Elephas maximus indicus: one gene and its partners. The protein of the gene in region 1 purifies or fractionates together with the protein of each later gene. This does not show direct contact. Links are inferred from orthologs where the notes say so. Each region holds a gene or a part of one and is shown in the gene's direction. Other genes may lie near its edges.

Region 1 (3,748 bases):
TCTGAGACCTCAGAATGTTTCAAACAACTCACGCTGGGCTTTCATACTGGGCTGTAGTCTCTCAAAGTCCAACCAATCAATACAGGGTATGATACACTTATCCCACCGAACTGCTCTCTCATGCCTGTATACACCTGCCTCCTCACCCCCCCGGCCACACCCCCAACTCCCAGCCCTCACCCAACTGTCCCTGCTAACAAAGAGCTCACTAAGTCCAAACTTTGTAAGCCAGTGACAACCTAGCCTAACAAAGAGCTCACTAAGTCCAAACTTTGTAAGCCAGTGACAACCTACCAGTCTGCCCAGCCAGCCTTGACAGGGGGCTCATTCATACACAACGGTCTGGCTCAAAGGATAGATGCCCATGGGGCTCCTTCAGCTCCCCTCCCCGCCACTTGCTGCTGGCCACACCTGTCCACTACCCCATGGGCATTATTACCCCATTCTCCAAACGCCTCTTGCTGGGTACTCCAAGGACATATTTCCATACAGGGATCAAGAAGTAGGGGGAAGGGAAGGGGTTCCGGCTCGGAGGTACCCGCTTAGCCTGGACGAGGCTGTTTCAGTAATACCAGTCCCTAGGGGCCGGAACCGGAGCATTCGCCACAGCGAACCCACCTGTAAGCAGGTCAAATGTACCTTCCAGACTCACGCATGCGCACAGCGACCAGCCGGGTTCCGGCCTCACTACGCCCCCCGCCCGGCCTCCGGCAACTCTCGCGTCTGCGCAAGGTCCTCCGGTCCGGTAGGGGGCGATGAGTCGCTCCGACTCCGCGCTCGGCTTTGGCGCCGCCGACATCACCTGGAAGCAGACGCTGTGCTGGGAGAGGTTGTGTTGTGGGGCTTCGGTGGTGGCGGGACTGTGGCGTTAAGATGAACGCGCCTCCCGCCTTCGAGTCGTTCCTGCTCTTCGAGGGCGAGAAGAAGTAAGTGGAGCCGGCGCTGCGGGGCAGGGCCGGGCCGAGGTTCGCGGGCCCCTCGGCCTTCGGCTCCTGAAGATTCTGGGGCGAAGCCCGTGTCTGCCAAACTCCGGGCAGTGGGGAGGCTAGCCATTTTGCAGATGAGCAGACTGAGGCTCAGCGAGGTTGAGGGACTTTCCCTGACCCAGGAAGTGGCGGGGCCTCCAAGTCCTGCTCCTCTGGGATCTTTCTGGCAGTCCCCTCAACTCGCCTTTCCGCCTGCCACCTCCTTCTTGCTGCAGCCAGTGATGGCTCTACAGTTCATATCCGATCTGTCACTCGCCCATGTAAAACGTTCAGCGATTCCTGCAGGTTTGGGGCAAATGTAGTCTAACGGTCAAACAGCCCAGGCTTGGTTCCTGGATCCCCTGATTACCGACTCTGTATCTTTAGATAAGTGACAACCTGTCTGAGGCTCAGTTTTCTCGTCTGTAAAATGGGTTTATTGCTGTATTTACTTACAGGGTTCTCTCTTAGGGAAGGTTAAATGAAGTAATTGAAAGTGTGTAAAGTGCCTAGCCCAGAAGGCCGTCATTAAACAGTGAGTCTTCTTACCCTTAAAAATCTGGTATGCAGGACTTTCAGTGGTCTGGCCCTTACCAGCCAGCAGTAGTTCTCGACTGGGGTTCATTTTGCTCCCCAGGGGACATTTAGCAATGTCTACATTTTTTGGTTCTCACAAGGGAGGTTACTACTGGCATCTACTGCAGAGGTCAGGGGATGCTGTTGATGTCTTTTGCAACAAAGAATTATCAGGCCCAAAATGTCAGTGTTGCAAAGTGAGAAGCCCTGCTTTAGAAGAAAGAAGGAATCCAGAGAGGCAGGGGTCCTAAGAGCCAGGATGTAGCCGGAGTCTTGGTAGAGACACAATGCTGCTCTGAGTCACAGAGGTCTTTATGGGATGAACAGACCCAGGAAGGCTTCCAGGAGGAGGGACTTGAGCCTGCCTTGAAGGACAGGGTTTAAACCTGGGGAGAGCTCCTGCCCCTCATGTGCTGCCTCTGCCTCTTCCTAGGATCACCATTAACAAGGACACCAAGGTTCCCAACGCCTGCTTGTTTACCATCAACAAAGAAGACCACACACTAGGAAACATTATTAAATCGTAAGTTCCAGGTCAAGGGCTCTCAAGGACTGTATTTAACAGGGCTTTGGGCAAAGCACAAGTTCCATAAGACATTCTTCAGGTGTCTGAGAGGGAGGGACAAGAAGTCCCTCGGGGTGCTTGCCTATGCCATTGCACAATTCCAGCACCTTTTTTTCAGAATGACTCTGACCCCTATGTGTTCACAAGCCACGTGTTTATGTGGGCTCATTTGTCTGACAAAGTGAGTGTGCAGCGAGCCACAGTACTCGCCTGGAAAAGTAGGAAATGCCTACTTGTGCTTTTGTGATCGTAAGCATCGAGAAGCAGTCCCCTTACTCTTATCTGTCATGGTGACTTCAGTGGCCTGTCAACCTGGCATTCTACAATGTGTGTGGCAGAGATCATAATTTCAGTAGGACAAGGAAAAGACGTGAGAGAGGTGTTTTGTGGTTGTCTGGTACCCCTGGTGGATACCTGGTGCTCAGTGGGTGTTTGTTTACCTCAGTGATGTCCTGGCCAGGTAGTCAGGGATATGATTGGTGTTTATCACCTTGAGGGCTCTTTAGGGGCATTGCGGGGTCCCTGACTTCCCCTGAGGAAGTTTCTAGAAGCCCTGTTTCCCCAGCTAGACTCCTTGATCCTTGTGGGTGTAGGTTTGACAGTGGTGGAGGGAAGGAGGAGGTGTGTGTATGTATCCTCACATGGTATATCTTCTACAAAGCATCTGCTTTACCTGAAGATTTTTGGGAAAACTAAACTACAAATGAAGAGCAGGGGACCCCTGGGGTTGCCCCCAGAGGCATTTGTTAACAGGCCTCAGCCTAACAGATGGGCTTCTTGCTGGACAGCCTAGTGAGCTGTGAGCTGCCTGGCAGCCTTGGCCTGGCTTGGGCCAGGGCCCCAAGGGCACTTGGCATACCTCCCACCCCTGTATTTCAGACAGCTGTTGAAGGACCCACAGGTGCTGTTTGCTGGCTACAAAGTCCCCCACCCGTTGGAGCACAAGATCATCATCCGAGTGCAGACCACACCGGACTACAGCCCTCAGGAAGCCTTCACCAATGCCATCACAGACCTCATCAGCGAGCTCTCCCTGCTGGAAGAGCGCTTCCGGGTGAGGTCCTGGGGACAGACAAAGACCGGCTAGAGGCTGATGCCAGCCAGCATGCCCAGTGCTGCAGCGTTCTCAGGTCCCCTGGCGCTGTTGCTCACACCTAGGACGGCCCCTGGGTTGATTCTTCTGAACAAAGGGGTTATGGAGCTGAGGCCCGTGGCCTGCTGTCTGCACCCATAAGCGGGAACCTCACCTGATGCTCTAGGGCCTGCCTCTTTGTGCACTCTTATGGCAGCAAGTGACCTGCCGCCCTGTGAAGTTGTTTTCAAGTCTCTTTGCTTTATGAGGCCTGCTGCTTGCACAGCACTGGTCTCTCTGGGCAGCACTTCAGCCTAGGGTAGAGTCCCAAGGTTCAGGAGGCCACATGGGTGGTGGCCACAGCTGTTTATGGCAGGGGACCTCAGTCTGGGCCCAATTTATAGGGGGAAAAGATCATAGCTAGTCAGATTCTCAATGTCTAAGTCAAAAGCCCACCCAGGACACACCTGTGCTCCACCTGACTCTGACCCCGGGCAGCTGGACGTGGGATGGGTGGAGCCAGCTCCGAGGGTGCCTTTGGTTCCTGACTGCCCACTCCCCTGGTGCTTT
Region 2 (3,748 bases), on another chromosome or scaffold:
TAGTGCCTGGTACATTGTATGTTGTTGTTGCTATTGGGTGCCATGGAGTTCAATTTCAACTCATAGTGACACCATGTGAAAGAGCAGAACTGCCCCACAAGGTTTTCTAGGCTGTAATCTTTACGGGAGCAAATCGCCAGGTCTTTCTCCCATGGATCCGCGCTCGGTGGGTTCCAAACGCCAATATGAACTCTGGAACTGTTTACAAAACTCAGAAATAACTAACAGAATATGCAGAGCCCCAGTTGCGCAGTGGTTAAGAGTAACAGCTGCTACCCAAAAGGTCAGCTGTTTGAACCCATCAGCTGCTCCTTGGAAATCCTATGGGGCAGTTCTACCCTGTCCTATCAGGTCGCTATGAGTCAGAATCGACTCGACAGCAGTGTTATTCTGTCCCATAGGGTCACTATGAGTCGGAATTGACGGCAGCTTTTTTGTTGTTGTTAAGAAACTGTGCAAGTACTATGGACAGAAGAGTGGTTTCAAGGCCAGCCACTCAGTAGTTGTATGACCTTGGACAAGTCGCCTAACCATGCTGAGACCAATTTCTACACCAATAAAACATAATAAATACTATTACTTGCCTCATCTACCCAAATAAGAGGCTTTACATCACATGCAGCAAAGAGCTTTAAAAACTGTAAAACGTTGTAAAAGTTTTGGCAGGGCAGTTAACGAATATGAATAGTGAGACGGAAAAAACCCTGGACCAGAGTCTGGGCTGCTGGGCAGGCTCTATAACTAACGGACTGTACAACTCCGAGACGTCATTCTTTCCTGTACTCCCATCTTAGACTCAATGACGGTCCGGGCCCTACGCTCTAATAGCCTATAAGTCCGTGACAGGTTCGGGACCTCAGATGTCCTCAAAAAGGTGAAGCCTGGGACTCCCAAATGTGGCCGCTGGGGCAAGGAGCTTCAAGGTCGCGGGGTCCCAGGCAGGGGTCGCTCACCCAGTCAAAGTCACACGGGTTGCCGTCTTCGCGTTGCGTGGGGAGACTGTGGCAGAGCGGCGGCAGTTTCCTCACGAGTAAGAACGAGGCGGACAGCAGGGCTGACAGGAGATAGTAAGGTCGGGCCAACCATCGTGAAAGTCGAGGCACCGAATACACCAATGCAATTAAAGGCGCCAAGACCGCCATCTTTTCGGCCCTTGCGGCGCCCGCTGCTCACCGGCGTATGCAGGTCTGGTACCCGCCCCCACACCACTTGAAGTTCCCATTGGACCAAGTCTCGGATGCACCGCCTATTGACCCGGAAATAGATGTCTATTGGATCTGCTGGTAGGTAAAAAGGGATTTGACACTTTATTGGTCAATCTACCTGCCGCTCTTTCCATTTAAGTCATGTTATTGGATATTGACTGCGGTGGGTGGAGATATCAGAGAAGAATTAATACGGTTACATAGCATTTCCCGGACGTTCGCATAAAGCGACGGAAGTAGTTGCGGGGAGAACGTAGGCGGGGCCTAGGGCATCCAGTGATAAACTGCTCCTGGAGGTGGAGGGCGTTGCCCCGTGAAGGGATTGTCCAATGAAAGTAATCAACGCCAGAAGCCGAGGCACCGTCGGGGCAGAGGGGACGATGGAGAATTTCACAGCGCTCTTTGGAGCTCAGGCTGACCCACCACCGCCTCCAGCCGCACTCAGCTTCGGTCCCGGAAAGCCTCCGCCTCCGCCTCCTCCTCCGCCGGGCGGAGGACCCGGCACGGCCCCGCCTCCTTCCGCAGCCACAGCCCCTCCTGGCGCCGATAAGTCAGCGGCTGGTTGTGGCCCTTTCTACCTAATGCGGGAACTGCCAGGTGAGTAGTAAGCCTGGCCTAAACTAGCCAATCAGATCATGGAGAGGGGATGATGGGCGTGGCTATAAGCCGGCCGGCGGAGGTGCGAGGTAACCTAGGCAACGCGTGCCACTGCACAGTTGCTCAAAGCCGGAAGGGCTCTGAGCATCGGCAACTCCTGGGATGGCATGAATTCGTGGGCTGGTGCATCTCCACGACCAACCTCCAGTCTGTATCCGGGTTCTGACCCTGACAATGGTTTATGGCTTCCTAAAAATGGTTCAGGGTTTGCGTTTGGTGCAGTACTTGGAAGTTTATTTAGAATGGTCCTTTTCGGCAGGCATTGTTATTTGCATCTTTTAGGTGAAAAAGCTGAAGCTTAAAGAATCTAATTTCCCTTTGGCTAGTTAGTAGTTGATGCCCACCAGGAGTTTCTTTAACCTTTCTTTTGCCTTACTCATTTTGAGTGTACCTTTTTATATCAGTGGACAAGTGATTGAACACCTGTTCTGTGCAAATGCTAAGTGGGGGGGGCGTGTAGTGGCAAGGGGAGAGAAATTAATAATAACTGGTCCTTGCTTATAAGAACTTATTTTGGCTGGGGATCCAAAAGATGTGATTTAAGGATAAAGTAATGTGACTGTATTTTTTGTCAAGACCAGTCTCATTACTTTGTGCTCATGCCTCTCACACAGCAAATAACAGTAACTTAGTGAACAATATTGAGAACTACATGGTGGTTTTCAAAATATGTTCCATGTTGTCCAAAATGATAGCATGAATAAGATGTGGCTTGAGGTAGACCTTGAAGAATTAATATTTGTTTGGAAAATTGGGAAGAATTTTCCTAAAAGGAAACAATATGAAAAATGGTTTTTTAAAGACGTGTTGGAGACCCATTTAGTTGGATCATAACTTTTGCATAGAGGAATAGTAATTAGTAAGGCCTTAAAGATAAATTGAAGTAAGATGAGTTTAGTCTTGAGTGCTAGTCAAAGGAATTTGAGCCTTCCTCAAGGATAGTAGGAATTGAGATTATTAAATTGAGGAGTACTACTTTCTAAAAGTATCTGGAGAATGTGAGTACCATAGATTGAAACAGAGAAGCCATGAGTGAAATTGGGAAGATTTGGAGTTTTAAAAATAAGAATTGAATCCACATGCAGTTGAATAAATGGAAGTTAGAAATGCAGGATTCATTTTCAGGAGAAAAGTAAGGGCTGGGGAGAGAGAAGTTGGGTGAACACACAGATTAAAGAAAGTACTAAAAAGAAAGTGCCACCAAGGTCACACGACAACTAAGAGCCCAAGAGACAGAAAGGGCCACATGAACCAGAGACCTACATCATCCTGAGACCAGAAGAACTCGTTGGTGCCCGGCCACAATCGATGACTGCCCTGACAGGGAGCACAACAGAGAACTCCTGAGGGAGCAGGAGATCAGTGGGATGCAGACCCCAAATTCTCATAAAAAGACCATACTTAATGGTCTGACTGAGACTAGAGGAATCCCGGTGGCCATGGTCCCCAGACCTTCCATTGGCACAGGACAGGAACCATCTCCGAAGACAACTCATCAGACGTGAAAGGGACTGGTCATTGGTTGGGGAGAGATGCTGATGAAGAGTGAGCTAATTATATCAGGTGGATACTTGAGATTGTGTTGGCATCTCTTGCCTGGAGGGGGGATGGGAGGATAGAGAGAGAGGGAAGCTGGCAAAATTGTCACGAAAGGAGAGACTGAAAGGGCTGACTCATTAGGGGGAGAGCAAGTGGGAGTACAGAGTAAGATGTATGTAAACTTATATGTGACAGACTGATTGGATTTGTAAACGTTCACTTGAAGCTTAATAAAAGTTAATAAAAAAAAAAAAAAGAAAGTGCCTTCTCACCTGAGCAGTAAGCATTAGATACCATCGAGTCAGTTCACATTGATAGCGACCCTGTGTACAACAGAACAAAACACT
Region 3 (3,748 bases), on another chromosome or scaffold:
ACTGCAGTATTCGGAAGCTGTTCTATTCTGTTGCATTATTAAAAAAAAAAATAATATTAGCACACACAATTTAAAAAATGGAACGTTTCAAAGCTAAAAATGTTATTACTGAAAGTTAATGTGTTAGCTTTAAGAAAATTAAAAAAAAATTTTTTTAAAAGATGTTGCTTTTCTTTCTGTTGTATTTTTAAGTTTTCTAGGAGTATTATTTTGAAAGAGGAAAAAAACTCCTCTAGAGCACTCTTAAGAGATAGGGCAAATATGAACTCTATAAAGGATTTTTTAAATAAAGTGAAATTGTCTTTTTTGAAAAAATTCCCAAAAGATGGGCCTGAAATCCAAGTTATAATCATTTAGGAATTTTTTTTTTTAATGTCCCACCTGACAAAAATTTGAGAGCAACACATTTAACTCATTCAAATGGGGTGAAACTTCAGATGCCCTCCAGCCCAAGGGTTGGCGGTGACATTGCTCTCTAAGAGTTGCAGTCGCCAAGATAATCAATTTGGTCACTGTAATCACTTTATTACTTGGAGACCAGGCCACCGGCGGTCCCCGGAAGAACCGGTCTCATCGACCATCGTTTTTCCCAGCCGGAAGGCCCGGCCCCAGCCCTGCACTACCGGCGCGGGTCTGCGGGGTCCTCACAGCGGCGCGCTGGAGGGCGGATTAAACCGCTGCGCGCGTGCTGGTGGCATCCAAGGGAAGCCATTTCTCCCGATTCCTGCTGTCCTTGGCGTTCGGCCCCCATCACCTGGCGGGCCCGGTCTGCCCGCGGCGCCGGGCCCTACGCCCTCACTACCCACCCGCGGGCCCAGCGACCCGGGCTCCCCCCGCGCGTCCACTCACCCGCCCAGCCTCCGGCCGCTCTCAGTCCCCTCCTCCACTCCGCAGGCCGCGCAGCCTACTCCCCCGGCCCCGCCCCGCCTACGTGAGAGAGGCGGGGCCTCGGGGAGAGACGCCGACGCCCGCTCTCCGCTCTGACGACGCATTTCCATGGCTGACTGGGCCGGGCAGCTGTCTCCCGGCCGCAAGGCCCGGGCTCCCGGCGCCTCCCGTAAGGCCGCAGGTAGGAACAAGGGTCTTTTGCCACGTTTGGGCCCTAATACCTGAGCTCCGGCAGAGTTCCACACCAAGGCGCGCGGGGAGCTCCCGGAAGACTGACCCAGGGGAGAGGGTCTCCTATGGGGAGACCGTAGAGCTCCCCACCCTCGCCTTTGCACCTTCTGGGCAAGATCTCCCGGGCAGACTCCGACCCTTTTACAGGAGTGTGCCAAGATTTTTCCCGTCGTGGTTTGACCCCAGCCTCAGAGGTGGGCAAGTGCCCAGGGCAGCGACGGCAAGCCGTGCGCAGCAGACTTCGGACCCCGGCCCAGTGTGCTACAGAAGTGCGGCTGCTGTGGTGCCCTGATTCTCTGAGGTGTCAATCCCGACCCTTTTCCCCCGCCAGAGGGCCAACAGGAAGGAGACAGGAAAAGGTTGCTCCAAAACTCAGATTTTCAGAAGGGCGTAAGTAAGCTGTTCTGATGTTGTTGGGTGCCCTCAAGTCGATTTCCGCCCCTTTTGACAAAATAGAACTGCCTCCATAGGGTATTCTTGGCTGTAATCTTTACGGAAGCAAATTCACCCATGGAGAGGCTGGGTGGGTTCGAACTGTCAAGGTTAACAGCCAAGCGCTTAACGGTTGTCCCACCAGGACTCCTGCAACTCTGATACATGAGAAATCAAAAGAGATAACATTTTAACCAAGAAAAATTAGGGAATAATTAATTTACAAAAGTAAGTTGGATTCTCTTCCCATTTGATTTTGGTTTACGTACAGGATTAGAAATGAAATGTGTGGAAAAGATGGCCTGCGGTTTGAGTTATTTGGACAGGAATCTGTCCTGTGCCTAATGTCTTTGTGCAGACTTGACCTACTTTTTTTTTTTTTTTTTAATCGTAGGTACCAAACACACAAGTGCCTCCAAACAAGAAGATGCTTCCAAGAGGTACGAGAACTTCTTGGAGAACTGCATTCATTTATCTATCTCATATTAATTGAACCGTTTTTTGAAACCGTAATGGGTACTACCTTAGAGAAAGTTACTGTGAGAGGGAAGGTAGAAGTCTGGGAAGCACTATAAATTCTCACAGTGACTGTTTCAAACCAAACCAGAGATTTCTAGGCTGCTAATGAGTATCTGTAGAAAGAAGTCTGTGACAATAAACATGCCTGTATTAACCTGGTACTCCTTTTCCACCTCTTCAGGTACACTCACTCATTACTGCTATGCCAGAGACTTACTGTGCAACCTTCTCATTTTGTCACTCCAAGAAGCCTTTTCTGTTCTTTGTTTACATCCATTCCAGATTTTCATCAAAAAGTTGTCTTGTACTGTCTCTTGGCTTCTCCTAAAAAAGCAAAATATTATCACCTGTCTCAGAAGGTTTCTAGAATATGCATAGCCTATGAAGAGGATTAAAATATATATCTAGAATTTCTCACTTTATGAAGGCTCACTGATCTTGTATTGGCTTTAGTCTTAATTTATTCATTCATTCAAAAATTATCTACCAAGTGTAAAATATGTCAGATCTGTGTTAGGCCCTGAGGATATGATGTTGAACAGGGTAGACCTACCATACATAGTTCTTGTTTAGTGGAATAGAGAGACACCAATTAAATTATCACAAGGTATACTTATAAATTGTATACTTACAAATTGTGAGAAGTGTTATAAAGGAAAAGGCTATGATGTTATGAGGAAGAACTAATAATGGGAGTACATTTTAGCTGGGAGCTGGAGGGGAGAGTAGCTGTGGGGTTCAGGGAAAGGCTTCTCTGAAGAAGTAATAATTACACTGAGACCTGAAGGCTAAGTAGGAGTTAACCAGACAAAGACTAGTGACGAATGACTTACAGCCAGAGGTGACAATATGTGTGAAGACCCTGAAACAAGAAAGAGGTTGGCCAGTTCAAAGAAAAGAGACATGTTATCCTTTGGTTTGCGGAAACATTGTTTGCTGTCATGTGGTTTAGGCCTTCCTCACCTGCAGAGAGTCTGTGAGGACCAAAGAGTTGAACACAAACCCTGATGTGTGTTGGGGCCAGCGAGTTTGCAAGGTTCCCCCCAGCCTAGTTCTCAAGGGCCTAGCTTTCATTGACAATGTTGTGCTGACTTACCCCGTCTGGCACAAATCATATTTGAGTAATCATCCTTAAACCCACTGCTATTGAGTCGATTCTGACTTACAGCCACCCCATAGCGTTTCCAAGACTGTAAATCTCTGCGGAAGCAGACTGCGACATCTTTCTCCCTCGGAGCTGAGGGTGGCTTTGAACTGCCTACCTTTTGATTAGCAGTCGACCACTTTAACCACTGTGCCACCAGGGCTCTCAATCATTCTTAAAAGTGAGAGAAATTAAGTCTGTAAGTTGAAATGTAAAACTACGAAAGTGGCTCAAGAGAGGAAGGAGTGGATCTATTGGTTTTTATTTAGAATTATTCTAATCTTATGCATAATTTAGGAAACGCTGGTGGCGTAGTGGTTAAGTGCTATGGCTGCAAACCAAAAGGCCGGTAGTTAGAATCCGCCAGGCGCTCCTTGGAAACTATGGGGCAGTTCTACTCTGTCCTGTAGGGTCACTACGAGTCAGAATTTATTCGACGGCAATGGGTTTGGTTTTTTTAATGGGTTTATGCATAATTTTTATGTGAATTTTTTTGGAAGGGATAGTGTTTTCACTTTGTGCTACTTATTATTG

The links.
Region 2: the proteins of POLR2J (region 1) and MED19 purify together in Homo sapiens (affinity purification with mass spectrometry; 3 studies listed by BioGRID and IntAct, with this or other methods). This does not show direct contact. The link is inferred for Elephas maximus indicus from reciprocal best matches to the Homo sapiens genes POLR2J and MED19.
Region 3: the proteins of POLR2J (region 1) and RPAP2 purify together in Homo sapiens (affinity purification with mass spectrometry; 5 studies listed by BioGRID and IntAct, with this or other methods). This does not show direct contact. The link is inferred for Elephas maximus indicus from reciprocal best matches to the Homo sapiens genes POLR2J and RPAP2.

The regions. Positions count from the first base shown.
Region 1 is NC_064830.1:93,971,660-93,975,407, reverse strand, and holds the start of POLR2J (DNA-directed RNA polymerase II subunit RPB11-a), read left to right. Parts: upstream 1-784; 5' UTR 785-873; coding exon 874-926; intron 927-1,974; coding exon 1,975-2,064; intron 2,065-2,985; coding exon 2,986-3,160; intron 3,161-3,748. UniProt on the Homo sapiens protein: Core component of RNA polymerase II (Pol II), a DNA-dependent RNA polymerase which synthesizes mRNA precursors and many functional non-coding RNAs using the four ribonucleoside triphosphates as substrates.
Region 2 is NC_064825.1:119,109,833-119,113,580, reverse strand, and holds the start of MED19 (mediator of RNA polymerase II transcription subunit 19), read left to right. Parts: upstream 1-1,486; 5' UTR 1,487-1,534; coding exon 1,535-1,802; intron 1,803-3,748. Other genes in the region: TMX2 (thioredoxin-related transmembrane protein 2), read right to left, coding at 954-1,142. UniProt on the Homo sapiens protein: Component of the Mediator complex, a coactivator involved in the regulated transcription of nearly all RNA polymerase II-dependent genes.
Region 3 is NC_064821.1:149,946,703-149,950,450, reverse strand, and holds the start of RPAP2 (putative RNA polymerase II subunit B1 CTD phosphatase RPAP2), read left to right. Parts: upstream 1-936; 5' UTR 937-996; coding exon 997-1,069; intron 1,070-1,945; coding exon 1,946-1,991; intron 1,992-3,748.